3 linked regions of the Danio rerio genome follow. The protein of the gene in region 3 interacts with the protein of the main gene of each other region in a biochemical or structural test. Links are inferred from orthologs where the notes say so. Each region holds a gene or a part of one and is shown on either strand. Other genes may lie near its edges. The genes, in order: ube2g1a, ube2s and uba1.

Region 1 (10,174 bases), on a different chromosome or scaffold from region 3:
AATAACAAAGTTTATGGATTTTGATTAAATAAACAAGAAGTTAGACACATAATAAACTGAAATTAAATTAGAGTCACTATTCAGAACATAATATCATTTGCAAGCCATTTATATTTAGTTGAAAGTTGTTGTCATTGAAAGTACAGCGGTATTCAACCACAGTAAAGACTAAATAAGACAAAAAAAATCATGTTTAAGGTCTTTATTGTGCAGTTTCTCTGACAAGATGTACACTGCAGGTCAGATATTTGGGGATATTATGATTTGTCAGGGTTTTTGAAAGTCTTTGCTGTTCATTGATAATGTAATTGATGTAAAATGTAAGAAATTGTATTTATTTCTGTAATTCGAAACATTGTCACTCCAGTCTTCTTGAATTATTTTGGTCTTCAATCATTACTACTGGTTCTCATTTTATCAGTTCAGAACTAAATGTTTCTGCTAATTTTAGTGGATATTTTAACTTAAAAAAAAAACACACACACATACACACACACACACACACACACACACACAATTGAACTGAAGTATAATGTTTTGAAACCTAAATATATTTACTGTCACATGTAATTAATTTAATGTATCTGTGAAAATGATTTGAATTGTGCTCTTACTCTTGTACTCTTAATATACGACTGTTTCCATAAAAATAAATGAACATTGATAACAATCAGAAAAAAAATATATTCAGCAGCAAATCAGCCTATCAGATTGATCCCTGAAAGATAATGCAACACTGGAAACAAGTAATAACAGCAGACATTTCTGCATTGACTTTGAATTAGTCAATTGACTTTTGTTTGAAAGTCAAATTGAGAAGTTGTTTTAACTAAAAACTGCATTTCAAAGTTTTTATTTTTATTTTACTTTTGTCCTGATGAGCAAAAGAGACGTCTTTCGAAAAAAAATGTTTTCAAATAAAATGTTTTTATCACGCTAGTAAGAAATACACAACCAAGACGTTAAAGTGTCATGAACGGTTATGAGAGCTGTGTGTAAGTGGATGATTCTCATAAGGATCGCCTCTATCACACATTTTGACTTTTATTATTACGCTGTACTGTCTCCTAGTGGTTGAATGACACTGTACTGTCCTCAACAATCAATTTTCTCTAATAAAAATGGCACTTGCGAAAAGAAAAAGCAATAATAAATGTATGATTACAGATTTTCGCTATAACGAGACAATTGATTAGACTCACCTACAACGTCACTAAAGTGATAACATAATTAATCTCGCAGTCAATGCCATCGCCGTTTGTTAAAAAACAAGCATATTTGTTTCTGACATGCGCGAATCCTCCGCCCATAAGTACCCTGGAGCACACTCTCGCCGCGGCCTCGCGGAGAGCAGAGCGCATGCGCATACCGCATCAGAATGTTGAGCAAAACGGACTAGAACAGAGACGGGAAGACGCGCAAGCAAATTCAAACATATTTTTTCTCCTTGTCGAGGTGAACGTCTGTCGACCTAGAATATAACTTATAAAAACATGACGGAGCCCCAGTCAGCACTGTTACTCAGGAGACAGCTAGCAGGTAATATTTGAAGGCTGTTGGCGAAGGCAGGCTAACAAACCGGTGAACGTTTTAGCCAGCCAGTACACCCGAGACGGAGCATTTTAGCCGTTAGCCGCTAGTTTAGCCGCTAACAAGCGCTGTGTTTATCATACAGCATTAGTTAGCATGTTAGCAGCTAAAATAGCCGGCTAAAGGCAAGCCCCGTCGTCTTTTGTTATTTTAAAATGCTAGTTTTGTACTACTCTTGCTAAAATATCAACATGAGAGTTTTTCTAACATAATTAAAACAACAATACGCGCACGTTTGTTTAGTGTTATTCGGTTTATTCATGTCAACATAAGTGTCAGTCACTTTTTTCCGTATCACACCGGCGGGGCCGCTCTCGATCGGCTACCCCCGTGTTTTGACATCTGTGTCCGGACGCAGTTTCCGCAAGAGAACCAGTCATCTTATAAATGGAGGAAAAGTCTGTCATTGGTCCAATTTCTGCTCACTGTCTTATCGTTGTCCGTCAAACCAATAGTATTATCGCACGGTTTAAAGGTGAGATTTATAAGCCGTATATTGTGTGCCATTACCCCGCATCGGGTTGATCAAATCCCTTTGTTTTTCTAGGCTGGCTAGCAGGCTAAAGCTAACAAATTGATGGCTGCTGTTTGATCACCAGCTCACCGGTACAGCGAGAACTGGAGACCCATAGTCTCTGTCACCATAGACCTGTGCGGGAAATTGGCTCTTATTAGAGTCGTTATGAGTGTTTCCTATTGTTCTATGCCCAGCACACACACACTGAGCAATATGATCCGCGAGTGTCAGCTTTACTGAGCTCAACCAGAGGAGGATTTCTCCACTGGGCCCCATTTGCGCAGTGCAGCCAGTGAAGTGAGTTAGTTATAGGGGTCAAACTAGGCAGATTACCTGAGTTTGGGGGTCTGATGAGATCAATTAAAAAGCAAAACAACAGATCTGCTACATGACAGCTGTCTCTTTGCCACAGACAGCTCAAGCAACCCCATCCCCCCAAATTACTCATCTTACACACACATAAAAGCAACTCGCTTGTTTCTTTCCAAGGGTCGCAGGGTGAGCGGCACCCCGGGCCTGTCATGGCGTCAGGTTCTGCAGAGGCCCTGCGCTTGATTGACTGATTCAGGGGGTCAGGGGCTGTTTTGGTTGTCTCCTTTCAGAAGAACCAGCATGGTGAACTCATCAGCCTTGATCTAAACTCAGTGAACCCTTCGTGAGAACAAAAGCCTCACAACGTTCATTAATGTTGGCCCGTAAAAGATACGGGCCAGGAAAATGCGGGCACAACTTGTGTGATGTTAATGCCATGTGTAGAGAGGTTTTTTTTAGAAATCACTCAAAAATTACCTTTAATTTTTTACCCACCCCAAGCTATTAAACATGTTTTGAGACTTTAAGTTGAAAAAAAATTAAGGTTTTGGGTAAAAACATTGCAGCGTCTACTAGAGCCGTGTGATTAATCGAAATCTAATTGCAGTCACCATTTGAAATGTTGCGATTAGCTAATCACAAGAGGCTGTAATATGAAGATATATTTGTATATTTTTAATTCATTTATTTCCCGTCCAGAGCAAACGCGTGACTGCGTTTTTGTGACAGTCTTACTAGACAAATTAGTGAGCACAATTGAGTGATGAGTGTCTTGCTAAAAAGTCAATTGAAAGTATTGCCAGGGACACTCAATTTAGTAGCAAGCAACAGCATAGTACAACTGCAGAGTTGTTTCAGACATGTTAGTTTGCTGAGTGTTTTTTTTTTATTATTTATTATTATTGTTTGTATAGTACGCTACACTATCTCGCTAACTTAAGTTGAACTTGTTTACAGAAAGTTAAGGTCATTTGATTTACTGTTCTATCTTTGCATACTGTTTCATCTTTTTGTTTACTTTTTGTCCTGGGAGAGAGGTTGGCTTTTCTAGAGAAAAATTTGTGTTTAATTTCTAAATATTTAAAAATAAATTTGATTAAGTAAGTTAATATCTTTTCTGTTTCTTTTTTTTTTTTTAAATAACGCTCACTGCATTTTTCCTGAAAATTTAATACAACTACCAAATGGTTTAGTTGAACCCTGTTCACTAGCATTAGATGAAGAGTTGTTTCCTTTTCCCCAAAACCTTGGCTGAAGAAAGTCAGTCATACACTGGTTGAATGGACTGCAGGATAGTAAATAAATTATGTATTTTTTTGCCTTCAGATAATGTTCTGTTATTAAAAGCACTACTGTTATGTCACTTTATGCGCATGCTTTTGTAACTTGTGGGTTTTCTTTGCCTGTCAAGCTTTTTAACATACATTGACAGGAAATTCTCTGAAAGTGATTCCAATGATATTGTATATCTGTGGTGTTATTGTTAAATCTGCTGTGTGGACATCTCTCTTCTAATTGAATTTGAAGGGTTGGTAAACCTTTCTAGTAGTGGCTGTCATCCATTCTTGGTTTGAACAGCCCTTTATGCTATTTGTGTGATTGTTGCTTAGGGCTGGTCGATATGGCAAAACTGCAATCTTGATAATTATTTTGCATATTGAATGATAACGATGTATATTGCGATACCAGTTGTTAATGCTTCCAGATTTAAAAGAGTATTCCAGCAATGACTGAAGCCACAAAAATTAGAGGGTCTATTAAATGGCATAGCATATTTTCAGCCGATACTTTTTCAGTGGCAGAAAATTTTGGGACATCTCTAACATCAACACACTTTTAGATTCTCGTTGTTGCACATTTCTGTTGTGTGATTGGCTCTTAGATCAATATAGAGTAAAAAGTCCAAAGCTTATCATTGTTATTGACACAAACTTCATCGCAATTTGATATAATACAGTTTATTGGCCCAGCCCTAGTGTTGCTATAATAACACTTCAGCACTCTTATATTGGAAGTAGGTTTGTTGAAAATACAATTGAGTCATTTAATAACCATCAGATAGTGGTAAAAAGGTGGCTTTGACAGAAGAGACTCTTCATATGAATGCCAGACTGTCTTAGTGATTCATGTGCAAAAATGACACATCCATATGACTGGATAACCCAACTGTCATCTTGTTTATGACTACAAGGTGGTCATGCAGTCAACCTCCAGATATTCTGTTGTGCTCCTTCTTGCAAACACACAGAAGTTCAGAGTATCTGAACAAACAGACAGGCGTTCTGTGACTAAAGAGTCGCTCAGCTGATCTGATAACAGACAGGCAAATTGGTCATTTCTTGTCTGAAATGTTGCCCAGATGTAGGTCTAACTATCAGAACTCATGTGAAGGCATGTATGCACCTACTGCCCTGAAATGCCCCAATTTGCCCTTTGAGTAGTTCCATGCAATTGTCAACCAAAGTTTTCACCAAAATAGCCAAAAGTATGATCACATTCATAAACCTCATGTTTATTTTCCTCATTTAAAATATGTTTACAGATTGATATTTTCTGAGCCCATGACACTGTGGTTGGTTGTTTTGTAAAATATAAACCGATGTTTCAATATAATATTAACTCATACTTTCTCTGTGAATTTGTTTTACGTTTTTACTGCAAATGTCACATCTATAACACTTTTCTGTACAAAGTGGCTAATTTGTACCTTGATGTCTCTTCCTGACAGAACTGAATAAAAATCCTGTGGAAGGTTTCTCAGCCGGTTTGATAGATGATAATGACCTCTACAGATGGGAAGTACTAATAATTGGTCCTCCTGATACACTCTAGTAAGTCTTTTTGTTGTTTTATAAAATGTTATGTTGTGTGACACCTCACCAAAATTAAATTATTATCAATCAGCTAAAGAATTAGATGATGCAAAATGTAAATTGACATTATTTACTTGTGTAGAGCTACAGTATAGGTATTCTCACAATCTAAGATGGGTCAGGTCAAGTTTATTTCTTGATCTTATACAATCTACAATGCGCCAAAGCTTTATTACATGGTAATACACAGTGTATCAGGCAGGTAGCAGTGCAGTTGTAGTATTAAGTCATGATGCAATGGGAAATTAACTGAATAAGTTTATGTATTTGTTGTGATGCCATACTGAATCAATTTAAGCTGTTGCCTTTCATTTAAAGGTTGTTCAATCACAGTATTATAAGCCTTTTATATTTTTCTGTTTACAGTGAGGGTGGTGTCTTTAAAGCCCATCTTACATTTCCCAAAGACTATCCTCTCAGGCCTCCTAAAATGAAGTTCATTACAGAAATATGGCATCCAAATGGTAAGTTTGCCTCCTAGGGTCTTTTAAATATTTAATATATTTTAATTATTTATACTTTTTTACTATTTTGTCAGCCATACATTTAATATCGTTGAATAAATACACAATTTTTTGTGTTTTTTTTTTTTTAGTTGGTTGGAGGGATGGGTTGCAGATTTCCAAAAAAAATCAAATATGAATTGTTCTTATAAATCCTTTTGAATCTCTGGCTGATATGGAAACTGTTTCGAATTTACACTGACAGACTTCGTTATAAATTCATCCGCATGCAGGTTTTTGTTTGTTGATTCCATTTGCAGCATTGTGGATATTTTTGATCCACTTAGGAAATATCTAATAATCTGCCAAACCTAAATACTGACATGCTCTTTATTAGGCTAATAATGACATGAGTTTTTTTTTTTTTTTGTCATTTTGTACAACATTTTAAGTTCTATATGTTTCTGAAACATTTACATTTTATTATTTGCTAGCTATTATAGTCATGTAATAATCCTTCAGCCACAATACTTATCTTTATATAATATTACTATGTTAATTAAATGATCATCATCAGCAAACAAAAATGGTTAATGTGGTATATAATCCACATTAAAATCTCATGTCCTGTCTCTGTATTGTTCTGCACAGTTGACAAGAATGGTGATGTTTGTATTTCGATATTGCACGAACCCGGGGAGGATAAATATGGCTATGAGAAACCAGAAGAGCGCTGGCTCCCCATCCATACTGTAGAGACCATCATGATTAGCGTCATCTCTATGCTAGCAGACCCCAATGGAGACTCCCCTGCCAATGTTGATGCAGCAGTAAGTATAACGTTAACTTGTAAAACCAGATATGATTGCATGTTGGCAGAAGATCTTTACTTCATGTGTTAATTCATTTTTATCTGTTCAACATTTCAGAAAGAGTGGAGGGAAGACAGACATGGTGAATTCAAAAGAAAAGTTGCCCGCTGTGTAAGAAAGAGCCAAGAGACTGCCTTCGAGTGATATACATCTAGCAGCTTGTAGCTTCACTATTTTCAGGGTAAGCAAGTGGACTTTTGGCATCTTATTTGACTGCCAATGTCTTGTGAACTTTTTTTTTTTATTTCCTCAACATGTCTGAAACAAACTGAACATTCATCGTCCAAGAAAAAGTTTATTCACACTCATTGTTTTTTTTAATCTGTGACTATTTCTTATTTTTATATTTAAAAGGGGAAACACACTTTAAAGTTGTTAACTGCATATGTTTGCGCACTATATAAATAGTCAAAGTATTACAGTTTTTGCTGAATTGTAAAATATTAAAATCATACAATTGCCATACTGCCCCACCTTCCTATACAGCTCTAATCCTCTCCAAGCAGGACTTTTTGTCAGACTTTGCAGAGATCTGTTGTGGTAATGTCAACCTGTTAGAACAGGTTCATGAAACTTGTTTAAAGTAGAGGTTCAGATCTAAAGATTATTAGGTAACAACAGTGGCTCTGTTGTCTGCTTAGCCTTTTATTGGTAGTCTTTTAGGGGCCGGTCACACCAAATGTGCTTTTCAGTTCCGTAAACGCAAGGTGCACCACACTGCCTTTTGCTTACTTGAGAAAAGAGCAGTGCGCTAGGCTGGATATGTTCTTTATGTTGCTAGACGACCACTCTATCAATGGTCTTCAGGCTGGAGCGCAAGTTTGCTTTTGGACAAATGCAGGGTGCGTAAAAAGCATGCAATATGCTTACTGCCAATAGAAAACTTTTTTTTTTTTTTTTTTAAGTGCATCTCGCCACAAAAAATGTTTAGTGTGGTAGTCATCTTTTAAGACTTGTTTATAGATGGTCAGTTTATTTGTATGCTCATCAAAGCTCACAAACCAGTAGTGTTGTTAAATTCTATCAAGTATGTTAAAAAACTTTTCTGTTTTAATTTGTTTTAAAATTGTTTGGCAAAGCTGAATATTCAGTAGCCATTAGTCCTGTTTTTAGTGTCACATGATTTTTCCGAAATCCATTCTAATATACTGATTTACAATAGGGAACTCCTATCAGGATGCTCATTACCCTATACTGATATGACAGCTGTTTGCATTAATTTTCAGTGAACTATGTGTTGCTGCTCCATCTGAAAGCACGTGGAAATACTTTATTTAAGACTATGTTTTTAGTTTTATTAGTTTCTGTTTCTTGTATCCAATATGTGACTAACAACAAAAACAAACAAAAATGATGACCCCCCCCCCCCCCCCCCCCCCCCCCCCCCCCCCAAATGATTCGCATAGGCTACACATAAATTGGGCCGAGAAGCTAGTCTGCTTGTGGAAAGCTTCCATTCCAATCATGGAAACTGGTTCTTGTGTTTTACATTGTCATATTTTGATTGGTTTTTGCGATTGGCTACATTTTGTAATCATTATCAGCTGATCAATAGGAGCTTTCTAATTGTTCAAAAGCGTTTAAAAGAACAGCATTGATTTAAAACTTTTTTACTGTAACTTTTGTTTAATCTTATGCATGATGAATAGAAGTGTTGATTCTTTTCAAACTTTTGATGGCTTTAGGCTTTTGAACCAGCGTGTGCTTTTAAGTTGTGTTTCTAGAGAATAAAATCTAAGCTGAAGCTGAAATGTATCTGTCGCTTGTTTTGACAGGCGACAGGCCCAAATCAATTGAAATAAACGTGGTGATTGTTCTGACATTTGAACCCTCTCTAATATCGCTGTTGGTGTCTTTTACAGGTCTCCAGTTGAGAAACAACATGGCACTGTTTTCTTGCACTCTACCACCCTATTGCTGGACTGGTTTTCATTGAATGTTGGCAGTAACAGACTGGCATTAATAGGCTGCAATAGAACATAAGGCCATCACCGATGCTGACAGAACACACCAAGCAAGTGCCAACAAAAAAAGAGAAAAATACAACTTCAAAACAATTACGCTTTTTTTTTTTTCTTTTTTTTTCTTTTTTTTTTTTCAAGTTTATGAACTGATACAACTTTTCAGGAAGAGATTGTAAAGATGTGTACATAGCACAGACATAAGAACCGGATAATATATAATAACTTGTTCCTATCCATCCAGCAAGACTTAGTACCAAATAAAAATAGCAGTTCTGTAGTTAGAGTGTGACATCATGTAAAGTTTCTCGAAGAGTCTAGTTCATCTCCCCCTCCTGCCACCTCACAGGTGCGACTGCCTGTCGGTTTGAACAAAAGTCTGCTTTGGCTATTCTCACTCCTTGCGGTTTAAGGTGGCGAAGGCAGGGGTAAGCTATGGTTAGGATTCAAAGCATGCACGTGATGTTGGACAGCTTTCTCACTCGGGACACTTCAGGTAAAAATAGCTGTAAAGCACGGTCATTTTCTTAAGAATTAGGGGTCATGAAGGTCCTTCTCTGATTTGGTTTTTAAATAGGGTGGGTGGGGGTTGCTCTTACTTTGGATGACTGCTTTCTGAGTGTCAGATTCTCACCTTTGCTTTTTTTTTTTTTTTGTCCATTTGAGGCGGGGAGGAAATGGCAAGGAAACCCATCAGATGTGATTTTCTTCTTTTTCCTGCATGTTTTAAGTTTTTCTTTCCTGTTTTTTTTTTTTTTTTTCAAAAGTGCCTCCAATTTAAATCGCTTGGCTCATTACATGCCCTGCATCAAATGGGAGCTAAAGGGAGGAACGTGATTTAAAAACTGCTCAACATCCTCTCAAGCTTGTGTGAATGTGTGAGGTTTATTTTTCTTCATAACCTTCTTACCAGCATTCTGGATTCTTTTGGTGTAGCAATAACTCTGCTTTGCCCACTTTGTGCGGACATCTCAAATTGGACATTCATGTAAGATTTCTAGTAAAGATTCTCCCCTTTATCAGAGCAGTTTTTTTCATGCTTGACATCTTTTGTGTGGTTTCTTTGATAGGTTTCTTAGCCATGCTTTAAATGTAGATTTCTTGCAGACGTTTTCTGGGATTTCAGATGTGTGTTTAAGGGAGATTGAGTAAAATTGTCATGAAGAGGCGTGTGTGTGCGTGTGAATGTGTGTGTGTGTGTGTGTGTGTGTGTGTGTGTGTGCATGCCTGTGTCCCACTCTCTTCCCACAATCTTTAGTTCTCTGGTTAATTTTATTCTGGCTCTGACAGACTACTGCATTTCTTTTGCCTAATGTACAAAGACAAAATACCGATGTATATTTTTCATGTTATGGAAATTGTCACCTCTAGTAAGTTCTTCTAAAATATAATTTTTTTCCAATACTTTGAGTGTGGTGTCTGTGTTCAGTTCAGTGTTACCACAAACACATTCATATGCATTCATTTATATCAGCATAACTATAAATGTATGCTGTTGATTAGAAATATTCTCATGAAAATGTACATTTTGGATAAACCTCTGGTGATGAAGTGTATCAATGATTCTGAAACATAAACCCTGCTATTTTAGTAGTTTTATAGCAGT
Region 2 (11,287 bases), on a different chromosome or scaffold from region 3:
GTCTGTGGAGGAGCACTTTTAGCTTAGCTTAGCATAAATCATAGAATCAGACTAGATCATTAGCATCTTAATACAATAATTTTAAAAGGGAGTTTTTTTATGTTAGTTCTTAGCCATATTGAACTAGAAAACAGCAACTTCCAATTGTAAGAATAGGAAAACCATCAAAATCTTATGAAATTTGAGCAAGATGCTAGTTGTCTAATCCGATTCATTGATTTATGCTAAGCTAAAAGTGCTCCTCTACAGACCTGGAAATCGGTTAAATGGATTAAAAAAATGGTAAAAACTCAACTGTTTAATTGCAGGGAAGCTCTAAAATGAGGTTATTTCATCCCTTAAAAAGTGGAATGTTCCTTAAAAGAGCCTTTAGATAGAGACCAGCAGAGCCAGAGAAAAATGCAGCTATAGACATTTAAGAAAAATCTATTTTTAACAACCAAACTACTCAAAAGATGAGGACTACTTTCCACGATGAGGTTGCTCTTGATGGTTTAAATTTCATGATCAACTATTTGCCCATATTGCTCTGCCCCAACTGGCCTCGAGGCTTTAAGGAATCCATCTTAAACATCAGTGTTGGGTAAATGTAGCTGTTTGCTTAAAAAATGGGAACAAAAGGATTTTTGAAAAGAGACTATGAAATAGAAAAACAAAATTAGTACAAATTGGAAACAAAAATAATACCACACAAATACGCACTCACAAAAAAACAAAACAAAAACTCGAGTTTCAGACCACATTTTACCCCTCCCCCGTCTGTTATTCCTGATCTTCTTTCTCACCACAAACACACATACAATGATCCTATCCTGTGCAATGTACTTTTCCTGTTTAAACCCCACTGATAAACCTCAATGGGTTCAGTCCAAATATAACAAGACAGAATTACCGTCCTATCACACCTGCAATCTATCTAAATATATTATAAATTCTGTGCCGACAATATACACTAAAATCCAGCTGATGGTCATTATGTAATGCTAGAGGCCACAAATAAATGTTCAAAAACTTTTACTACCGCTTTCATAATCTGAACAATGATAAAACTTTCAAAAACATGGATGAAAAACCCCTTTTGTGAATGAAACAAAGAGAGAATTGCCACGAGGACAGTTCAAGTCCTGAGAGTAAAGTGGGAAGAGACGAATGCAACGAAAATGAGAGGAACATGACAAAACCAATGTGCCATCCTAAAACACAAGGACAGTTGGAGGAGGAGAAAAGGTGGTCTGCACACTTCAATATTTATATATACACAGAAAAGCACAGATCTTTTATAGCCGCCTCAGAGCTCGTTTCTTATCTGTTTTTTTCTTTGCGACTATATTAGTATTGCTAATATTGGAGTTGTTGGTGCCAGTACCCATTGTTGGCAAACCTGCCCCAACTACACGTTTGTTTGGGTCTCCTGCATGTTTCTTGGGTTGGGGTCCGTCTGCAGGTTCCTGAGGGGCCCCTGAAGTGCCTCCCATAGCATGAATCTCTGTTAGAAGATGAGCACGGGATGCATACTCCTTATAGTCCTCCAATAGTAACTTCCCAGCCTCTTCATTCAAAGCCGACTCTGGGTTTGGGTGGATCAGAAGGCACTTGATGGTCTAAAAGAAAGATTTGAGAAGTATGGAGGGTAAACAAGCTGTATAAAAAAAAAATCTGCTCTTACGAGTTCAAAAGTTTAGAATATAATGAAGATCTGGTCATCACAAATTTCTTGTTTCCATGGCCACATCTAACCTTGTTTGAACATACGGTTATTGTTGTAATATCAATACTCATTTAATAGATTTACATTGACTAATAGATTCAAGGTCTAATAGAACCACATTGAAAAAGCCGAACTGAATGGAACAATAGGATGAACTGTGCTGTGTTTGAGTTTTATTTCTCCAAGTAAGGAAAAAAATGCTCTAAAACATAATATGACAGAATAAGGCTTATAATAGCGCCACACCACACAAAGTTCTGTTATTTTAAAAGAGATTATTTATTCTGTTGAACACTCAAAGGTGTTTTGATGAAAGCTTAAAATCCTCAAACCATTGACATCTACGATAAGATTACAGTCAATGGTTACAGGTTTCCAGCTTTCTTTAAAATATCTTCTTTTGTATTCAAATGTGAGAAACTCAAACAGGTTTGAAACAAGTGAAGGGAGAGTAAATGACAGTTATCTCATCAAGGGTAAACAATAAAAATCAAGATCGACTTAGAATAAAACTTATGGCTACTGAAAAATTATCTTTGCCATTTAAATGAATAAAACTAATGCAACAATATTATTAGTTTGAACAAATTTTGTCATAATTGATGGAACTAACTACAACCCCAGATTTTAAACTATACATACACATGGATATAAAGATAGCCCAGTTTAGTGTCTGTATCAAATTAAATTGTGATTTTACATATAAAAGCATAGTAATAGAGCTGCACAATTAATCGTTGAAAGATCGCGATCTCGATTGGAGATCTACAATTCTGCCAATCATATTTTTAAGTTCAGAAGAGAAGAAAAGGCGGCTGCACGAGTCTTTTCATTGTTTCACACACGTTGCTCAGTCACATTGACACCTCCAAATGATGTTGAATGAGTCACATAATGTATTTATAAGGTATGATTCACCTAAAAATGTCATTTTTGTTTTCATATAATGATGTTTTCGCGGCCGGGAAATCACACGTGACGAGCTGCTGACCGTGAGCTGTTATCACAGAGAGGGCGCACGCACGCTCTACTTAATGATAATTTAGTGAACAGAACCTGCATATGATGCGAGTAACAGGTAAATAATAATCAGTAATGCAACATGTAAATAATATTCAGTTTGTGGCACAGAGTGATCGTTTGGGAGCAGCGCGCGTAGTATGAACAAGCACTTAGCAGTCAAAATAAAACCGAAAGTGTGCACTTCATTTAAATGATCATATCGCATTTTAGAGTTATGATTACTGCAAGCATTTGATATGTTTTTTTTTTCTTTCATAGCGACCCCACAGTTGTGCATGAAAATAAATGTTTACAATGTCAGTATAACTACTCTAGCCTATATATTGTTGAATATAATCTGATAATGGCAAATGTCTGATTTTACCAGTGAATAAATTTGTCTAATATGACAGATTGCAAGCATATATCTCAAACATATTAATTCAACATCAGAATTATTATAAGTAGAATAGAATTATTTATAAAAACCAGTAGACCTACACACAATATTATTATTGATGTTGTGCTATATTGTTTTACCATTCCTTTATTTTACATCTACAGAATCGTGAGAAAATCGTGATCTTTATTTTGAGCAAAAATAAATAAATAAATCGCGATTCTCATTTTAGCCAGAATCGTGCAGCTCTACATAGTAATTTCAAGTGAGAGTTTCTAAATGAGTAACAATTAGAGCTGCTTTTTTTTTTTTTTTTTTCTTTTTTAAATAGTTGCTAAATGATGTTTAACAGAGCAAAGAGATTTTCACAGTATGTCTGATATTTTTTCGTCTGGAGAAAGTCTTATTTGTTTTATTTCAGCTACAATAAAAGCAGTTTTTAATTTTTTAAAAACCATCTTAAGGTCAAAACTATTATCCCCTTAAAGCTATTCTTTTTTTGATAGTCTACAAAACAAACCATCGTTACACAATAACTTGCCTAATTACCCTAACCTGCCTAGTTAAGCTAATTAATCTAGTTAAACCTTTAAATGCCACTTTAAGCTGTATAGAAGTGTCTTGAAGACTATCTAGCCAAATATTATTTACTGTCATCATGGCTAAGATAAAATAAATCAGTTATTGAAATAAGTTAGTAAAACAATTATGTTTAGAAATGTGTTGAAAAAAATCTTCTCTCCTTTAAACAGAAATAGGGGGGAGGGGAATTAAACAATTCAGAGGGTTTAATAATTCTGGTTTCAACTGTAGTACACATTTGCTTTCTGCGATATAAATTGCGACATGACTAAAATTTCACCAAATGACTTGAATATCTCTATTTGAAAAATAATTGATTCATTTTGATTGATTGGCATGATTTGGCAAGGGGAGGGAACCAGGATCCATAAAACATAATGAATTACAAGCATATAAAAACAGAATAGATCAAATCTAAGTAAAATAAACAGTAAATTAACAGTTTATTGCATGTAAATGTAAATTATCACAGCAAAACTGCATAAATGACTATATGAATGAGTGATGCACTGATCTTGTTTTTTTTTTACATGGCCAATCCAGATTTATTTAGCAAATTTATTCAATACCGATTCCCAATTATACATAGGGCTTAACACTTTTTTCAGAAGCTGACTTTTAAAAGCAAAGCCACTTCATTAATTTGAATACAATAATACCCTAGGTTTTACTGTACTGGTTTATTGGACTGTTTTGATGGTAAACTATTTAATTTTTATTTATAAATGAAGCTTTATGAAGTGTAGCTAGCAGAACTGGGATCAAATTGTCCTTCTAAACTGATCTGGATTAGATTATGGACTAAAGTCCACAATGAACAGGAAGCTGCTGCAACTTTTATTTTTATATTGTGACTCAGTATATTAAATGAGAAAACAGTGGGCATGGCTTGTTTTTTCTGCTGCAAGCTGAATGGATGTAGTAAAGTAGGCATTTCATTCAGAAAGATAGTAAAAGGGGTTTTGAAAGTGATTTCATTTCAGCAAAACAGATTGATTAAACGTATATATTTATTAAATAATATTTTAGTGACTGAACATCTTTAGAAATAGAAAGATAACACATTAAATTCATGCAAAATATTGGAAAAAACAAACAAATTACAAACTACACAATTTACAATTTGTTAATTATATTAATTAAATATATATTTTTTGTTTCTTTTGATTTTCTTCATTCTTTAATTTTGATTTTAGATTTTTCCCTAAACATATAGATTAGGGCTACTAATTTTTGGACTGCTACCTTAAGTTATTTTTTTAGATTAGCTCCAGATTTTGCTTCAGTACTGAATAATCAAATGTATATGTACAAATACAATATTGTAAAGCATCCTATAGAAAACATTAAAAAGATTTGTGAGGGGTGTACTCATATACTGGGCACTGTATGTCCATGTACACGCACATATTTAATTACAGTTTAGATTTATTAATTCAACTGGTAAATCTAAGATGTTGCAGAACCTTATATTTTAGGGCAGGGGTGTCCAAACTCGGTACTGGAGGGCCTTCCCTAAACACACCTGCCTGGACTGAGTTTGGACACCCCTGTTTTAGGGAATTTCTGACCATGAAACAAAAGGGAAAAAAAATTTAGTCAATGTTTGAAAGAACTTCAGAAAGAATAAAATATTACTTACCAACAATACATGTCTCAAGCCCAGCTCTGCTTTCCAGTCTCTCTTGAGTACATTGACACAGATCTCACCCTTGTGCCCAACATTAGGATGGAAAATCTTTGTGAGGAAATAGCCTCTGGGAGGAACGGCAGGAAAGTCCTTCCCAAGCACCAAACGCATCCGGAACACACCACCTGCATATGGAGTTCCTTCTGTTGAGCAGAAGACGGGGGAAAACAAGTTGCAAGTGCAATGATTAGATCACGGCTTTCATTGAGAAGAGGAAACTGTGATAATCTCTACTTGCCTGGGCCCTCAATGGAAGTGTGCAGCTCTGTGATGTCCTCTTCACTGGGGTAGATTTTGATCCCCTCAGGAGGATCTGCTGCTAAAGCTGAAACTTCTTTATAGACGAGTCTCAACACTTGAGGCGGCAAGTTCTCCACATTTGAATTCTGCACACAATAAAATGTCAAATGTAACAAATTGCAAAATTTAAAAAATGGTGGGGAAAACTTTTTATTTAGAAAATAATACAAAATTATTAATTTTAAGAAACTTTAGCCTATACAAGTTCATAAACTTGATACATAATACATACATTACGGGTGAAGATTTTGGGATCAGTAGGATTTTTCAATGATTTAAAATAAGCTCATGTGGCTCACCAAGGCTGCATTTGTTTAATCAAAAATACAGAACAAATTACATAATTGTGAAATGTTATTGCACTGTAAAATAACCGTTCAAAAGTAATTCATAATTTAATAATTTATTCTAGTGATTTTAATGATGAAATTTCAGCTTTATTATTTTAGTCTCCAGAGTGACATGATCCTTCAAAAATCACGCTAACATTAGTTATTATTATTAATGGTAATAGTAATAAAAACAATAATGATGGAGTAATAATTTCATTTGAAACCACATACAGTAAGCAAGCAGTTATTTGATAGTATCACTACTATTAAAATAAACAAATAAACAAATGTAATAAATCAAAATAAATAATATAATGGAAAAAAACAAGAGCCTAGCACATCTGCTTCACCAAACAACAAAAATAGGTGGAATTTCGTTCATTTATCCACAATAAAATACACATTTATTTAATTAAAAAGCAAAAACACGAAGAAAAAAAGTGGAACAATTGTGCGACGTATATCATACTGAGCTTGTATCGTCTGGTAATCAAGCACTTAACAATAAATTATATTTTTCGGAACTTTTAGTTAGGATAAAGTAATAATTACCCAGTTACTTTAATATAATGCTTTATTACAAAAAGTATGACAAATGCCACACAATTCGACATTAGTGATGCATTAACGCGAGAAAAAGTTAAAAAGCCTTTTGTTAACAAACGTTCGTAAAAAAATATTAATGCTGCATAATACAGTGCTTATAATTACTGTCAATTTAACAATCAAAGCATATTTGAGTTTAAATCACATTACTGTAAAGAGTCTCTCAAAACAAGCTGAACGACTAAAAAGTAAGACAAATAAACAGTAAAGCTGTTTTGTTGTTGTTGTTGTAATCAGTTTGATGAATCACTCGTAAACAATACATAATTGAACCTACCATTTTTAGGCGTGCTGGATTTTTTAATCGGCAGCAAATTTGTCCCAAAGGAGAACTTAGCAGAACTGACACTCAACCGGCCGATTTGACGGATTCGGTGATCTGTAACCGGACTGACGGAACAAAACGATAACGAATCTAAAAGTTGCAACCAATCAAAGATAGCAAAGTATTCCAAGACGCCTGACTATTATATAAATAACCAAAACCAATTTTCACTGTGATGTCGGTCGGCTTGCTAGTGCTGCTATCAAACCAGGCTAGGCTAACTGTGGGATAGCTAGCTATTCTCCAGAGCTGCCTTTTGTGAAACTTCAATGCGACGTTGTCTTCAGATCAAATATCTCGTGTAAAGATTTTTTAAATCCAACGTGGTGTTAATTTCGTCTGCGGTAATTGATTTGTTTGATAGCTAGTCTGCTGCTGCTGACGGCTACTGTAGCCTGTTATCAGCTAGCAGTCTTTGACACGGAACAAAAATACAATTCGTCTAAGCAGCAGTTCGAAATACGTTTAACCAATCAGAATGTGAGAAGGACTTCACGTGCTCAACAATTAAAGCGTTTTGACCAATCAGAAGCACGGGTTGTGCTGACGTAGCTGGCCTTGGAAACCACTTCGACCAGAGAAAGTTGAGAATGCGAAAGATGCTGTTTGCTAATAGGTGCGTTTGAAAAACTCCTGCCCTCCCAGAGGCAGGGACTGATGTGTGGCTTCAAATCGACATCCAATGAAAGACGCAGAAAGAAATATAAGAAAAACTTTAGAGGTTTTTTATTACTGTAATTGGTTTCTTCTAGTGCAGATCACGATGGAAGAATTCTGAAAGATTGAGTTAAACTAAAGATTAATTTGCCTTAAAATACAGTTTTACTCACTCAACAATTAATGATTAAAAAGCTACATAATTTTTATTTTATTTTATGTAATATTTTAACAACATGTAATGATTTCACTGTTTTTACTTTTTTATTTTTTTTCCTGCATTCTGTATAAAATGTCAAATATTCCTTGTTTTTTATTTGGCTTTTTTTTTTTTTTTTTTTTTTTGATAATTCAGTTGCCATCATTTTGTTATTGATAATCGAACGAGGGTGTGGCAAACAATTTACCTTATTTCTTATTTAATTTCAATTTCATTTATAAAACACTTTAAAACAGTTGAAAGTGCTGACAATAGAGAGTAAAACAAAGCGTAGCACTTATTATAATGTCCACCTTGTTACTCCTGTCTAACTATATAGTTTTTTCATGGTAATAAATAAAATCAATACACATTACAAATGTTTTTTGGTTACTTGCATCCAAAGAACTAACCAACAGGATTTAATGGCATTGCAGTCTCGAAATACATTACATTTACAAAGTGCCATATAACAAGTCTTTTTTGAGATAATTCTTGTTTAGTAATACCTTTAAAAAATACTATTGCTATACTATACTATTGGTAAAGTGAAAAACATTTTAGCTCCTAGAAAATGTAAATATTACATAAACTATTTATTTGAAACACCTTCTAAAAGATATGAGAATTTTCTGTAATGGGGACATTTAGCCTGTGTTACATGTGAAAATTCTGTAAAAAATGATAAACCGTAATATCCTTAGCTGCACCTGTATATTTTTCTTATAGTTTAATAAGTTCTCCTTCGACTGAAATTTAATCTTGGAAAATAAAACATTTTTTTCAGGGACAGTAACTACCCTAAAATGTCACTGCATAGTTGCACGGTTTCAAAATATCATGGTATTGTGGCTCCAAAACATGTTCTTTTTAAATGTCTGGTTTAAAAAAAATAAAATAAAATTTGGAACAAACATATTTTATTTTGAGAAACATTTAAAATATTTTGGAACAGTAAACATGTCAGATTAAATAATTCATTAAATCACAGATTTATATACAATTTAAAATTGCATCTTTGGATATCTTTTCTGCTGGAGGTACTGTTGTACAAAAAACAAAAACAAAAAAGTAAAACAAAAATCTTACATACTGTAGGAACAGTATAGCAGAACATCTGAACAACTGTTCCAAACCACAGTATACCTTAAAAACGGTTTTCGTCCCATGCCTGAAATATACACAAAACTACATTTCAATTAGTACAACTGCTGTTTGCAGCACAAAAATAATAATGTTAATGCAAAATAAGAAAAGAACGTACTTTATTAACTATTATTTATATTCTTTGTTTGCAGTATATGGTGCTGGACACAAATCTGTAGTTTGATATTAATTGGTCTGTTTTTACTTATAAACAATTATATGGAGACTATATGAGCTGAAATCTTAATGATATTTTTTTCTTAATTTGTAAGTAAGTTTTACAGTAAAAAAATCTAGTTGGAAACACTTGTTTTGTTAACAAAACTACCGGAGGTCTATCATATTATTGAGGATGAAACCTGCAAAAATAAATTACACAAATGTTGGGGGAATAAGAAAATGCATGTTGACCTGAGGAAAAGTACAGAACTTTCTGTTTAGCATTTTCTCATTCCCCCAACACTCATGTAATTTATTTAATTGTTTTCTGCCCACACTATTATTTATTTAAATATTTATTTATGCATGAAATTGAGGATTTATATATACATTTATTTATTTGAATCTTTATTTACAAATTTATTTTATATTTGCATATTATTTATTGATTAATTTGGCTGAAAGACAGAGAAAATATGACTCCATTTCAAATATGAAATATGAAACACTCAACAAATATGTATTTACACGTTTACATAAGTAAAAAATCAGTTAAATGGGCTCAATTCTGTTTACAAATTTCTCTCTTTCTTTGTGTGTATACACACAAAACTTTAGGTTTTTGAGATGAACATATACTTACTACTGTAATGAAGACATTTTCCCTGACATTTATGTTGTCATAAATATTGTTACTGGTTCTGTTGCCAGTGCTGTATTTTGCAGGCTATATACGTTTAAAGAGTGTATAGTAGCATTCCTTTATGTCAAATGTCTCTGAATTACTGTTTATATGTAAGCTGCAATGTATATGGACCATGTAAAATCCTCTCACGCATCGCTCATCCGTAAATGCTGTTGTGACAATAAAGTGAGTTGAGTTGGGTTGAATGTAAAATAGCCAATAGTATCTGGATGCAGCCTTTATGATGCAAGCTGAGATTGCATGCCTCAGCGATGCAGTGTCAGACACTGCACTCAAATGTAACGAGTGACGTCACTGTGATGGTATAGGGGTGGGGTTCGGTGAGCCTATTAAAAAGCTTTGGATGCAGCCCAGATTGCAACTAATAGTTTTATTCATTAATAAATTAATTTTGTCGTTATAAGGAAAACGGAAATGCCTTACTATGAAATGAAAGAAATGAATTGCTGAAATGCAGCTGGATATAAAAAGAAAAAAAACTCAAAAAATAATAATGTTGCAGTATTTCAAGACGGCCGCCAGAGAGCACTCAAAGGCTAAGTATGCTGGATCATTTACTAAATATCAGTATTTAGAATCCATTAGTTAATGCCTAATCATTTAGCTTCTTTAAAATTGTTGTTGCCATAGAAACATTCTGACAGAATCAGTTATTTGCCTTATTTAAAAAAGAACATCTTACAAGAACATCTTACAATCCACTCATCCTGTGGTCATCTGCAGATGCATTGTCTGTAAGTTTATCATCTGTTTGTGTTTATATTCTATCTCAGATATTATTGGTATGCATAGATAACTATTTATGTACATCTTTTACATAGTTTCACTCAGTTTCAACATACTCAATGTGGCATAAAAATAAAGCAGCATTCTTCCACAATCTCACGTCTTGGAAAGAGTTTATCTGTCAGTCTAACTTTGGGAAGAACACTAAGGCTACACATTGTTCTGAGATTATTGCTGCTCTTCTTTTTAGTCTTCTATATGTTCTGTTTTTAGCAGTTAAAAAGCATGTGTCCACAATATAATAAGTTTATATTGGACAACATACACAGCAAAATATGGGGACCCAAAACAACTCTATGGGTGTTAATTTCAACACTTTGAAAGTGTCTCATGGGGTCCACTCAAAACAAAGTTAAATCAACACTTTCAAAAGGGTTGGCACATTGACACCGAAGTAAGGGTTAATTTTAACTCTGGGCAGAGTTAAAAAATTTAACTATATTTAACACTGCCTGGTGTAATATATTGTTATTTTATTCAACTCTCTTGAGTGTAAATATGGTAAAAAGGTCAAATAGACTGTAAATTACAAAAGAAAAAACATTTTATTTGAAAACATTCACCACTTCAACAATTCATTCAGTTTTTAAAATGCAACAATGTCAAATATGCTTTAAATGTTTTATTAGTACAGACAGTATCAACAAAATATGTATGACCAGTGCTCAAAAAGGCTGTTTCAGTCCTTT
Region 3 (10,625 bases):
TTATGCGCATTTTCAAAATTGATGGCCATCATGGCGTTTCCGGCAGCTGATTTTTTTTTATTTTGATGCCCATATTCAAAATAGTTTGGATGGAAATGTAGCTACTGGTTTAATTTGTTAGTGAGAGAAACATATGCTTTTGCCAGGCGCCAAAACAATTATGATGAAAAGGATATGAAACCTCTAATAAGATGTTAATTTGATTCTCATTTTTGAAAACAGACTTGTGGTTTTGCCAAATTTAAGGGCCTGTTTACATCTGGTGTTAAGATGCACTTTTGTTGATCCAGCTTCAAGTGGACAATGATAAATAGCAGTGCAAAGTAAGTTCTGAAAGGTTTTAAGCTTGTCCACTTGTAGTTGAATGTGCTCAATCAGGCCACCTATTCTCTGACTACTGCCGTAATTCTTAAACAATATAGGACATGTTGCTGAAGCTCACTAACCATATAAGAATTAAACTTTGCTCTCTGAAATCGGACGTTTGATTTGAAGGTGAAATAAAATGTAAAAAGCATAATGTTTTACAGAATTAGATTATTTTTTACCAGCAAAATTTTGTAGCTGTTAGAGATCTGAAAACCCCATACATACTAGGCATGGGCCAGTATAAGTTCCTGACGTTATGATAACCTTCACGGTATTGTAATTACTGCTCTAAAATAAGTTGTTTTAATTATTTTTTTAAATATCTGGGTATAAAACTAAATCTTTTACCCATTGAAAATTTTATTTTATTTAAGAAACATTTATAATATTTTGGAAACATGTCAGGCTAAATAATTAAAATTATCATTGACTTCTCTCTTCATTTGTTTCATAAGCACAGATTTCTTTACAACACATTTAAAAAAATACTTTATAAAAACCTTAGATATACTTTAGGAATGGTAAAACAGAAAATATTTGCAGTTTTAAATCTTTGACTTTTGCAAACTGCAGGAAACCTTGAAAGCGTTTTTTGTCCCAGGCCCAATACGTACACCTGTTTTAGGAATGGAAAGGAAAGACGGATAAATGTGTTGGCTGTAATTTCTACATTTGTAGACTTGAAACAATTCAATAAAACACATTTTGATGCCAGATGTAAAAGTTTATCTGGAACATTATTATTTTTTTACTGTACAGAGACATTTTGCTTTTAATGACTGTACTTTTTGTTATGAAGTAAACTCGCTTTCAACTCGCATGATGAAATTCATGAAAATTGCTGTTAAAGTAACAGTATTTAGGCACTACTACTCGCACTTTCCTGCGAAAAATATATTTCTTCTTGTTTTCCAGATGTCCAGCTCGCCGCTGTCCAAGAAGCGTCGCGTGTCAGGATCAGAGACGAAGACGGGATCCCATTGCTCCTCCTCTAACTCTGTCAGAACTGAACTGTCACACACACCAGCTAACGTATGTTCAAGTCAATACTTGTTTTGAACACCACTGGGGCTTGAACATATTTAGAGAATTTTATCTTCATTCTTTACTGCGCTTGTGTTTTTTGAAAGGCAGCCAGTTTCATAAGTTATGTGCATGGCTATTTATAGTCTGCTAACTGTGGTTTTGGTCTCTGCAGGGCATGGCTAAGAATGGAAATGATGCTGAGATCGACGAGGGCCTGTACTCCAGACAGCTGTGAGTCTGGCCTGCATTTTAGTTTGATGTATCATAATGTTTTTTTGAGCAAGCAAACCTGATCATGTGAGCAGAAGCTAAATTTAGTATACGTTTCTCAGGTACGTGCTGGGTCATGATGCTATGAAGCGTATGCAGAGCTCTAATGTTCTTATCTCGGGACTGCGAGGTTTAGGGGTAGAGATCGCTAAGAATGTCATTCTGGGTGGAGTCAAAAGCGTCACCCTGCACGATCAGGGAGTGGCCGAGTGGAAGGACCTTTCATCACAGGTCAGTGGTTGGTCATGAGTCATAACTGTAACTGTGTGAAAGCAAAACAGCCCTTGCTGATAGTTTTGTGCGTTGAGTAAGGGGCTAAAATTACGTTTAAAAAAAAAAAGTCTACAAACAACAATTAAATTACACCGTCATTCATAGTTTGGGTTCAGATTTTGAAAGGTTTATTCAAAAATCTGAGTTTGATTTTTATTGTTTTGCTATGAAATGCTGTTCTTTGTATTGAGGAAAATGTATTTTTCCACCAAAAATATTAATCTGCACTATTTTCAGTATTGATATTGACATGTTTTTTTTTTAATAGATAATTACAAAATATGCATTATTTTAAGGATCCTGTGATACTGAAAACAATGAATGCCTGCTGAAAGTTGGGCTTTGCTATCACATGAATTAATGTTTAACAAATATATTTCAATAGAGGAAAATATTATTTAAAAGTTTAATTTGTGAAAGAATTTGTCATTGCATGTGAGAGTGTATGGATGTTTCCCAGTACTGGGTTGCAGGAGGAAGGGCATCCGCTGTGTAAAACATGCTGGATAAGTTGGCAGTTTATTACCCCTTTCTCTTGGCCCTTGAAACAGAGTGTTAAGGGGAAGGGCTTCAAAATTTATCTCTAAGAAATGGGACACCACTACAACACCTGCACACGTCATCATGAGCTCTTGCTTCATATGAGATTGATGAAGGCGACTGCTGTAGTTATACCAGTTGCGTTTTTTTTGTGGTATTTATCTTCAGCATATCATTGAAGGCATATATTATGTTAAAATGATATAATGTAGCAATTAGCTTGTAACTGTACTGTGCTTTTACACCGTGGCCATAATCATCTATGTAAACACGCGCAAACAACATTAACATTATATAAAAGGTCATTCACAGCCACTAGAAATTTCTTACAGGCTGTTCGTGTGTCATCGAGTGACAGAATGTTGTGGGACTGCTATACAGGAGTTAATATTAGGCATTATTGATGCTAAAATTTACTGTGATTTTTATTTTTTAAAGCATGATGGTAAAACTTGAAGGCTGTTATGAATGTATTAAAACGTGTTTGTCGTAAAAATTCGTAATAATGACAAAAAATATGAATTTGTGCATCTCCTGATTCCGGGTGAAGATATGCTGCCATTGTAGAATTGGGATGAAAAAAAAATTAAATGAATGAATAAACGTGTACGTCAGTTCAAAATATTACTGTTATTATTATTATTATTATTATTATATATAGATTTTTTTAAAGGCAATGTTGGTGAGCACAAGAGACTTTTTCTAAAATAATTTTTAAAATCTTACCAAACCCAAACTTTTGTACTGTTCTCTACATAAACAAATGAAAAAAAATCCATATATTGTTTCTGGAAGTGTAAGAATAAACATTAATAATCTACAGTAGTAGAAATACAATTTTGTTTGCTTCATGTTCCTAGTTTTACCTGCGTGAGGAGGATCTTGGGAAGAACCGTGCTGATGTCAGTCAGCCTCGACTGGCAGAACTGAACAGTTATGTGCCTGTAACCTCCTACACTGGCACCCTCACCAATGAATACCTGACCAAATTTCAGGTACTGCTGCTATTGCTCCACTGGACTTTAACTTTGATCTCTTATAAGGATTACAAATTATTTTCTCTAAATGCATATTAAACTTTGCATTATAGCTGAACTGAAGTTTGAAGCTGTTAGCTAATAGGTCTTTGTATGCTTTTGTCCAGGTTGTTGTGCTCACCAACTCTAGTCTTGATGAACAGACACGTATCGGGGAATTTTGCCACAGTAATGGCATCAAGTTGATTGTGGCAGACACACGTGGACTGTTTGGGTATGAATATTTAAAAGATATGACATTTTTTAAGGTTTTTTTTTTCCTCCATGTAACTTTTTCATAAACATTCTGTTATTTAATAGGCAACTGTTCTGTGATTTTGGGGAGGAAATGATAGTATTCGACACAAACGGAGAACAGCCATTGAGCGCCATGATCTCAATGATCACAAAAGTAAGAGCCTGTGTGATTCTACCATTGAGCCTTTTTAATGCAGGATCAAGTAGTTATAGTTATTTGTTAACTTTCTGGCTGATTGAACTTTTTGCTCTCTCTCTCTCTCTCTCTCTCTCTCTCTCTCTCTCTCTCTCTCTCTCTCTCTCTCTCTCTCTCTCTCTCTCTCTGTGTATGTGTAAAATAAATAAATAAAGGACAGCGCTGGTGTGGTTACGTGTCTGGATGAAGCACGGCACGGATTTGAGAGCGGAGACTATGTCACTTTCACAGAAGTGCAGGGCATGACGGAACTTAATGGCTGTGATCCAGTAGAGATCAAGACACTGGGTAAGTTAAAAAAAATAATAAAATGTACAGACCCAGAAACCTTTGAGATCAATCCTTGTCAGCTAAAAATTAAAAAATGTTTGATCAATTCTCAGCCGGTTTGACTCTAAGCCCAGTCGGCTTAACTAAAAAAAAAAAAAAGCAATAATTGTACAGTGCTTGACAGAAAGGTCTGCCTTATGTCCCAGAGGTTGCATAAAAATAAAAAAATGGATAGTTAATGGATTTGTAAGTAAGTATCTTAACACACTAATCTTTTGCCCACTTTGCCCTTGCTAATTTGAAATTCAAGTAATTTTACATACGAGCACAAGAACAGATGAAAGGATTAAATTTTGTTGATGCCTGCTGTATTCTGCTGTTTCTGTATACAAGTTGCAAGCAGGTTTTGTGGATTTTCAGCAGTGAAAATTAAACCACACTGGACTAAACTGAATTTCAACTCTAAAAACTGGACTGACACTGTTTTAATTTACTAGAACATCTATGTTAAGCTGCTTTGACACAATCTACGTTGTGAAAGCACCACAGAAATAAAGATGAATGGAGTTTAGGAGCTTTGTTTCATAACCTTGTATTATGTTTTCTTCTTGCATAGAACAATGCATTCAGAATTAAGCCAATACAATCATTTATTTAAATAGGTAGTTATTCCAGAAAATCAACAAAATTTGTGGACTTTTTAATTGTTTTGTGAAGTAATTAGCTAGTACTAACAGACTAGTAAGTAATAGCTTCACTTTAGATGTTTGCTGTATTCCTGTTTAGCTAGATTTTCTTGGTAGCATTGTATAACCATTTTATGAACATTAAATTACATTACAATGTAATGCTTAACTAAAGGGTAGTTTGTTAGTTATGTCATAGTTTTTTTTTTTCTTTCTTTTCTTTAATCTTTTCTCTCGATCCTCGAATATGGCCATAGATGAGATACTATATTGATAGATACTATTGATAACCGTTGCCTTCAGAATGTTTGGCAAGATAACGGAATGGACTTTTGGAAAGTACTTTAGCTCATTCACTAATTTCCTCTTTCAGTCTGTGAGGCTGTGTCTGTATACCTGCAATTTGACAACCATTTCACATGTTTAAAGTTTTTAAGCTGCTGCTGGTATCTTCTGACTGTTTGACAGCTTTTAACATTTATGCTGGCCTACTTTTTAATATGTAACTGGATCAGCATGAGGCAACACCTGTCAATTGTTTTAGCAACCAATCACATCAAGTTTCTACCCTTCTCCTAAAGAAAGAGAAACTGATGCAAAACCGAAAAGAATGTCTGTAGAATCTGAGGCCTCTTTAAAGAGTTGTGATGTTAACCATACACTGTTTACATTTCCATCTGGTGGGGTGTTTTGTGACTGATGTCTTTTGCATTCAGGTCCTTACACTTTCAGCATCTGTGACACCAGCTCATTCTCTGACTATGTGAGAGGTGGTATTGTCACACAAGTGAAGATGCCCAAGAAGATTGCCTTTGTAAGTTGATTCCCTGGCTGAGATTGTTGATAATAAATTAAATCCCCTGCTGGATTTTAAACGCACTTCTTTCTTCACCAGAAATCCCTGTCCTCCTCCATGGCCGAACCAGAGTTCTTGCTGACTGATTTTGCCAAATTTGATCGTCCAGGCCAACTCCACGTGGGCTTTCAGGCACTGCATGCATTTGAGAAGAAGCACAGTCGTCTGCCAAAGCCCTGGAATCAGGTGAAGACTTTTATTTTGTCTAGCAGTATTTCTAATCATCTAGTGTATTTTCTGGATTAGTCACTTTATAGTGTCAATTGTTTTTTATTTGTTTTGTTTTTTTATCATCTGAAATAGGGTGTGATTTTTATATTCTGAAGTGTATTTTATTTGACTTGCAAATCAAGGTTTGAGTTTATCAATTCTTGATTGTGAGTGTTGCCCTAAATGTTTTACAGTTCACAGTGTTTTCTGCTATAAGTAGTTTAAAATTATTTGTTGTGTAGTCTATTCAGAAAAGAAAAAACAGCGCTCTTTCATGACACACTACTAAATTGTGATCTGTGGGCTAAAGACCCCTGCTTTAGTCTACATAATTTAGTTATATTTGCATGCAGCAAAGTATATTCATCTAGTGGAGACATTTATTTGCCCAAATTTAAATCTGAGAGCATAAAGGGTGAAAAAACAAAAATTGTATCCGAAATCCAACGATCCGAAAATGCGTGAAGTGACAAGTAGTTGACAGGCCCACAGTCATTTGTTAGCAAACATTCTTTACTCTTTATTATTAATTTTTTTTAACTAAGTATATTCACTATAATGCAAGTAATGGAAATCCCATCCCAACTAGCCATCTCTAATTCCACTCTGAACATACTGGGCTGACCAGATTTCTCTGTTCACTTAGTGTTCCACTTCCCAGTCTAATACTTTCAAGAAGTGCACTGTTGAGCTTTAATTCTACGTGAATGCTGTACTGTGGATATCAGGCTCAGTGACTCAGCAGTGATTTTTCTCTCTCTGTCTGTCCTATTGCAGGCAGATGCGGATGAGCTTATGACTCTGGCTGAAGAGGTGAATGCTGCACAGACAGGATCTGCCAAGCAAGAGGAGCTGGACCAGGCAGTCATAAAAAAGCTGGCCTGCGTGGCTGCTGGAGACCTGGCACCCGTCAATGCCTTTATTGGTGGGCTTGCTGCCCAGGAGGTTATGAAGGTAATATGGTCTTCCATTATTGTCTTTGAACTTTAGATCTGTGAGATGCAGCATTGTGATGTGTTAGCCTCACCTATCATGCTTCTTTATTGTTTATCTGCTCAGGCCTGCACAGGGAAGTTTATGCCCATCATGCAGTGGCTGTATTTTGATGCTTTGGAGTGCTTACCTGAGCCTGAGGAAGTCATTCTTACAGAGGAAGAGTGTGCTCCTGTAAGTGCTTTATATTTTTAGCATTTGTTTAATATTTGTGCATTGTTATGGCTCGCTCAAAAGATTGTGGGTTTAAGACAGAATAATTTATTCAGTTATCTGTTTTGTACAGAGGAACTGCCGGTATGACGGCCAGATTGCCGTCTTTGGGTCCAAGCTGCAGGAGCTGTTAGCCAAGCAGAGATATTTTCTGGTGAGAATCTAAAACTGGCTGTTTTTCAAAACTGAATGATTTCTCTATGCCAGATAAGGGACTGCACAATGCCTTGTCACCTTGAAGTTACATTGAACCAAACAAATAGCTTTGAATAGTTTATAACAAAACAAGCAAGTATTTGCTGATCCAAACTTTTTTTATGCATTTATTCCTCAATTATTTAGTGCTTAATTTTTACTAATACAGTCAAAAACTACATTTTAAATGGCTTAGAAAAAATTACAAATATATATTATGGAAAAAGTATTTGAAATGTTTTGGCAAATATTAAATTGAAATACTAAAATTACAGATGAAAGTATGAAAACTATAGAAAAATAACGTATGATAAGGATAAAGCATATTTAAAATTAAAACTGGACATTTAAAAAAAAGCTCATTCAAAACGGTTTGTGCTGAACAAAATGCCAGACAATAACATCAGCCACGTTTTGCTTTCAAACCATTGTAGATTTGTTTTTCATCTCGCTTTTAGTTATTTTAAGCCGCTGTTGTAAATTTGAAGAAGAGACAAACCAGGAGGATTTTTCCAATATCTTCAAAGCAAAATCGTTTTCCGGGCCTTGCTTGAAAGCATCACTAGGCCATTTGTTAGACAAAAGACACAGCCCTGCCTGGAACTGACAATATGCATTATTTTGGAGAAACAATACTGTCTTTTACATATAGGCAGTCTACCTTGATCCCTCAGGATGCATCTTAAAATGTAAAAGCCTAATTTATATATTAAAAGAAACTTGTAATCTTTCACCATCAAACAATATTGAAAAAAATAGTTCATGCTAGATTATTTTTGCCTTTAGTCCACAATTAATTGTTAAACTGAAACTACGAAAATAAAGCTTTATTTTTATTTTTTTTTTTGCTAGACAATAAGCTGAAATATTAATATAAAAAATTAAAACCATTTGTAAAAGTCAATAAATATAAAATTAGACAAATTAAGACTAAAATATTAAAGCAGAGGAAATTGATGCTTCAGCAACAGGTAGTTGTATCATTTACACAAAAAAGAACAAAAACCTCTGCTTTAGCATGTGTTGCGTTCACCTTAGTGACCCTTTCTGTGTTCAGGTTGGTGCTGGAGCCATTGGCTGTGAGCTGCTGAAGAACTTTGCTATGATGGGCTTGGCCAGTGGTGAAGGAGAGGTCATAGTCACTGACATGGACACCATTGAGAAGTCCAATCTCAATCGACAGTTCCTCTTCAGACCCTGGGATGTCACGGTACGATTGACTGACCCATTCTAACACTGAGGAAGGAATTTTGAGAAAAAACAGGATTATAATGCCTTACTTTTGTATAACATCGCTGATGGCTTTGTTCTTCTTTTATCGAGCAGAAGATGAAGAGTGAGACTGCTGCTGCGGCAGTGAAGCAGATGAACCCGTCAGTCCGTATCACTGGTCACCAGAACCGTGTGGGACCGGACACGGAGAAGGTCTATGATGATGACTTTTTTGAATGCCTTGATGGAGTGGCAAATGCTCTTGACAATGTAGATGCCCGTAAGTAAGAGTTTTAAGAAATCGTGCAGCTGCTCACAGTTGAAAATGCATTGCTTGAACATCATGTTTGCTCCTTCCAGGTATGTATATGGATCGGAGGTGTGTGTACTACCGTAAGCCATTGCTGGAGTCTGGTACTCTTGGCACCAAAGGAAACGTGCAGGTGGTCATTCCCTTCATCACAGAGTCCTACAGCTCCAGCCAGGATCCTCCAGAGAAGTCCATTCCTATCTGCACACTCAAGAACTTCCCAAATGCAATCGAACACACCCTACAGGTGACAAGCAATATTGAAATGTTGTCTTGAGCCTTATTCCCAAACTCGATTTAGAAATTTTTTTTTTTTGCCAAATGGGCAGTCTTTTTGAAGTATACACTGGGGTTGCTCTGATTGATTGACTACCAATTACAATTTGTCAGTAATCACTTCTAAAAACTCTATCTGTGATCTCTTCATTTTCCAGTGTCATAAAACCAATGTCATTCTGATCAAATCATTGATGCCAATTCATTCTTTTTCTGGCATGGGTTAAATAATAATTAAAAATTTCTAATTACTGGAATTAATTAATGGAGATCATTTAGTTATTTGTCGATTGTTTTTAATGTAATGTTTATAAAAATAGTTAATGTAATGTATAAAAATGTATATTAGTTTTTTGTATAATCTCTTATTGAATTAAGTTATTTAATATGTTTTTCTATATTGGTCTTGGCATGAAATAATCACAAGTTGCTGATGTGGCAATAAATGAACTTGGAACTATTTTCCTGGTGAATTACAAGTCATACATCTTAATTAATTTTGATAAACTCTTACCCAGACTTAACACCAATGTCACCAGATTTCTCTAGAAAGGTTCACCAGCCCAGTTTTTGTGCTTCAGGACATTGTTTAAAGGAATCATTCAATCAAAAATTAAAATCCTGTCATTTTCCATTTTCTCACCCTTCACTTGTTCCAAACCTGTTTGACTTTTTGTCTTTTGTTGAACACAAGAAAAGATATGAAGAAGGGTGGAAACCTGCAACTGTTGACTTTCATAGTATTTGTATTTGGAAGAAATTGTACTATGGAAAGTCAGGTTTCCTTAATGCATCTTCATTAGTGTTCAACAAAGAAAATTGTAAAGTTTTGGAACGACTTGAGGGTGAGTAAATGTTTCATTTTTTGGAGCACTATTTCTTTGAGGGTGAGTTGACCTCTTAAAAAGACACTAAAATAAGCAGACATGACAACTGCACCTGTGAAACAAATGTAACCAAAAGTTAAATTACCAACTTGTAATAAATGAAAAGGTAGGAAGTGTAAGTAATAATAAATCAAAATCACATATTTGAATGATATAGTTAATTATTTAAATATTTAAGGGTTTTAGATTTTAAGCACGATTTAAATTATATGTTAATCTAAATTTTATTTAGTTTTTTATATATTTATTTAATTTTTGGTTGAAATAGTTTTCTGCTGAAGAAAGCTGCATTGATTTGATAAATGTGTCAAATTTGAAATTAAAGTGTATAAATGAAGGTCATTTGAAAAGTAACGTGTATGAATATTTCAAAATGTAACTTTTTTTGTTATGAGGATTTGCAGCATATATAATTATAATATATATATATATATATATGTATGTGTGTGTGTGTGTGTGTGTGTAATTTATATTCATTTATAATTGTTTTGTTCACAATTAGTTTTTACAGTCACTTTCAACCATCCGTCTTAAATAATAGTAAGATCAGAAGAATTGCAGATTAGAAT

Evidence for each region.
Region 1: of the proteins of uba1 (region 3) and ube2g1a, one has a biochemical effect on the other in vitro, tested with the Homo sapiens proteins (3 studies listed by BioGRID, with this or other methods). The link is inferred for Danio rerio from reciprocal best matches to the Homo sapiens genes UBA1 and UBE2G1.
Region 2: of the proteins of uba1 (region 3) and ube2s, one has a biochemical effect on the other in vitro, tested with the Homo sapiens proteins (8 studies listed by BioGRID, with this or other methods). The link is inferred for Danio rerio from reciprocal best matches to the Homo sapiens genes UBA1 and UBE2S.

Annotation. Positions count from the first base shown.
Region 1 is NC_133180.1:31,603,288-31,613,461, forward strand, and holds ube2g1a (ubiquitin-conjugating enzyme E2 G1a), read left to right. Parts: upstream 1-1,375; 5' UTR 1,376-1,493; coding exon 1,494-1,539; exon of another isoform or gene 1,540-2,065; intron 2,066-2,137; exon of another isoform or gene 2,138-5,147; coding exon 5,148-5,250; intron 5,251-5,658; coding exon 5,659-5,756; intron 5,757-6,386; coding exon 6,387-6,565; intron 6,566-6,664; coding exon 6,665-6,751; 3' UTR 6,752-6,788; intron 6,789-8,469; 3' UTR 8,470-9,973; downstream 9,974-10,174. UniProt on the Homo sapiens protein: Accepts ubiquitin from the E1 complex and catalyzes its covalent attachment to other proteins. In vitro catalyzes 'Lys-48'-, as well as 'Lys-63'-linked polyubiquitination. May be involved in degradation of muscle-specific proteins.
Region 2 is NC_133191.1:14,026,865-14,038,151, forward strand, and holds the start of ube2s (ubiquitin-conjugating enzyme E2 S), read right to left. Parts: upstream 7,381-11,287; 5' UTR 6,901-7,380; coding exon 6,898-6,900; intron 5,769-6,897; coding exon 5,621-5,768; intron 5,526-5,620; coding exon 5,335-5,525; intron 1,602-5,334; coding exon 1,278-1,601; 3' UTR 1-1,277. UniProt on the Homo sapiens protein: Accepts ubiquitin from the E1 complex and catalyzes its covalent attachment to other proteins. Catalyzes 'Lys-11'-linked polyubiquitination.
Region 3 is NC_133198.1:23,552,049-23,562,673, forward strand, and holds part of uba1 (ubiquitin-like modifier-activating enzyme 1), read left to right. Parts: intron 1-1,284; coding exon 1,285-1,401; intron 1,402-1,567; coding exon 1,568-1,626; intron 1,627-1,727; coding exon 1,728-1,896; intron 1,897-3,338; coding exon 3,339-3,473; intron 3,474-3,622; coding exon 3,623-3,729; intron 3,730-3,815; coding exon 3,816-3,906; intron 3,907-4,103; coding exon 4,104-4,236; intron 4,237-5,620; coding exon 5,621-5,718; intron 5,719-5,799; coding exon 5,800-5,946; intron 5,947-6,747; coding exon 6,748-6,924; intron 6,925-7,029; coding exon 7,030-7,137; intron 7,138-7,249; coding exon 7,250-7,330; intron 7,331-8,428; coding exon 8,429-8,581; intron 8,582-8,697; coding exon 8,698-8,863; intron 8,864-8,943; coding exon 8,944-9,140; intron 9,141-10,625. UniProt on the Homo sapiens protein: Catalyzes the first step in ubiquitin conjugation to mark cellular proteins for degradation through the ubiquitin-proteasome system.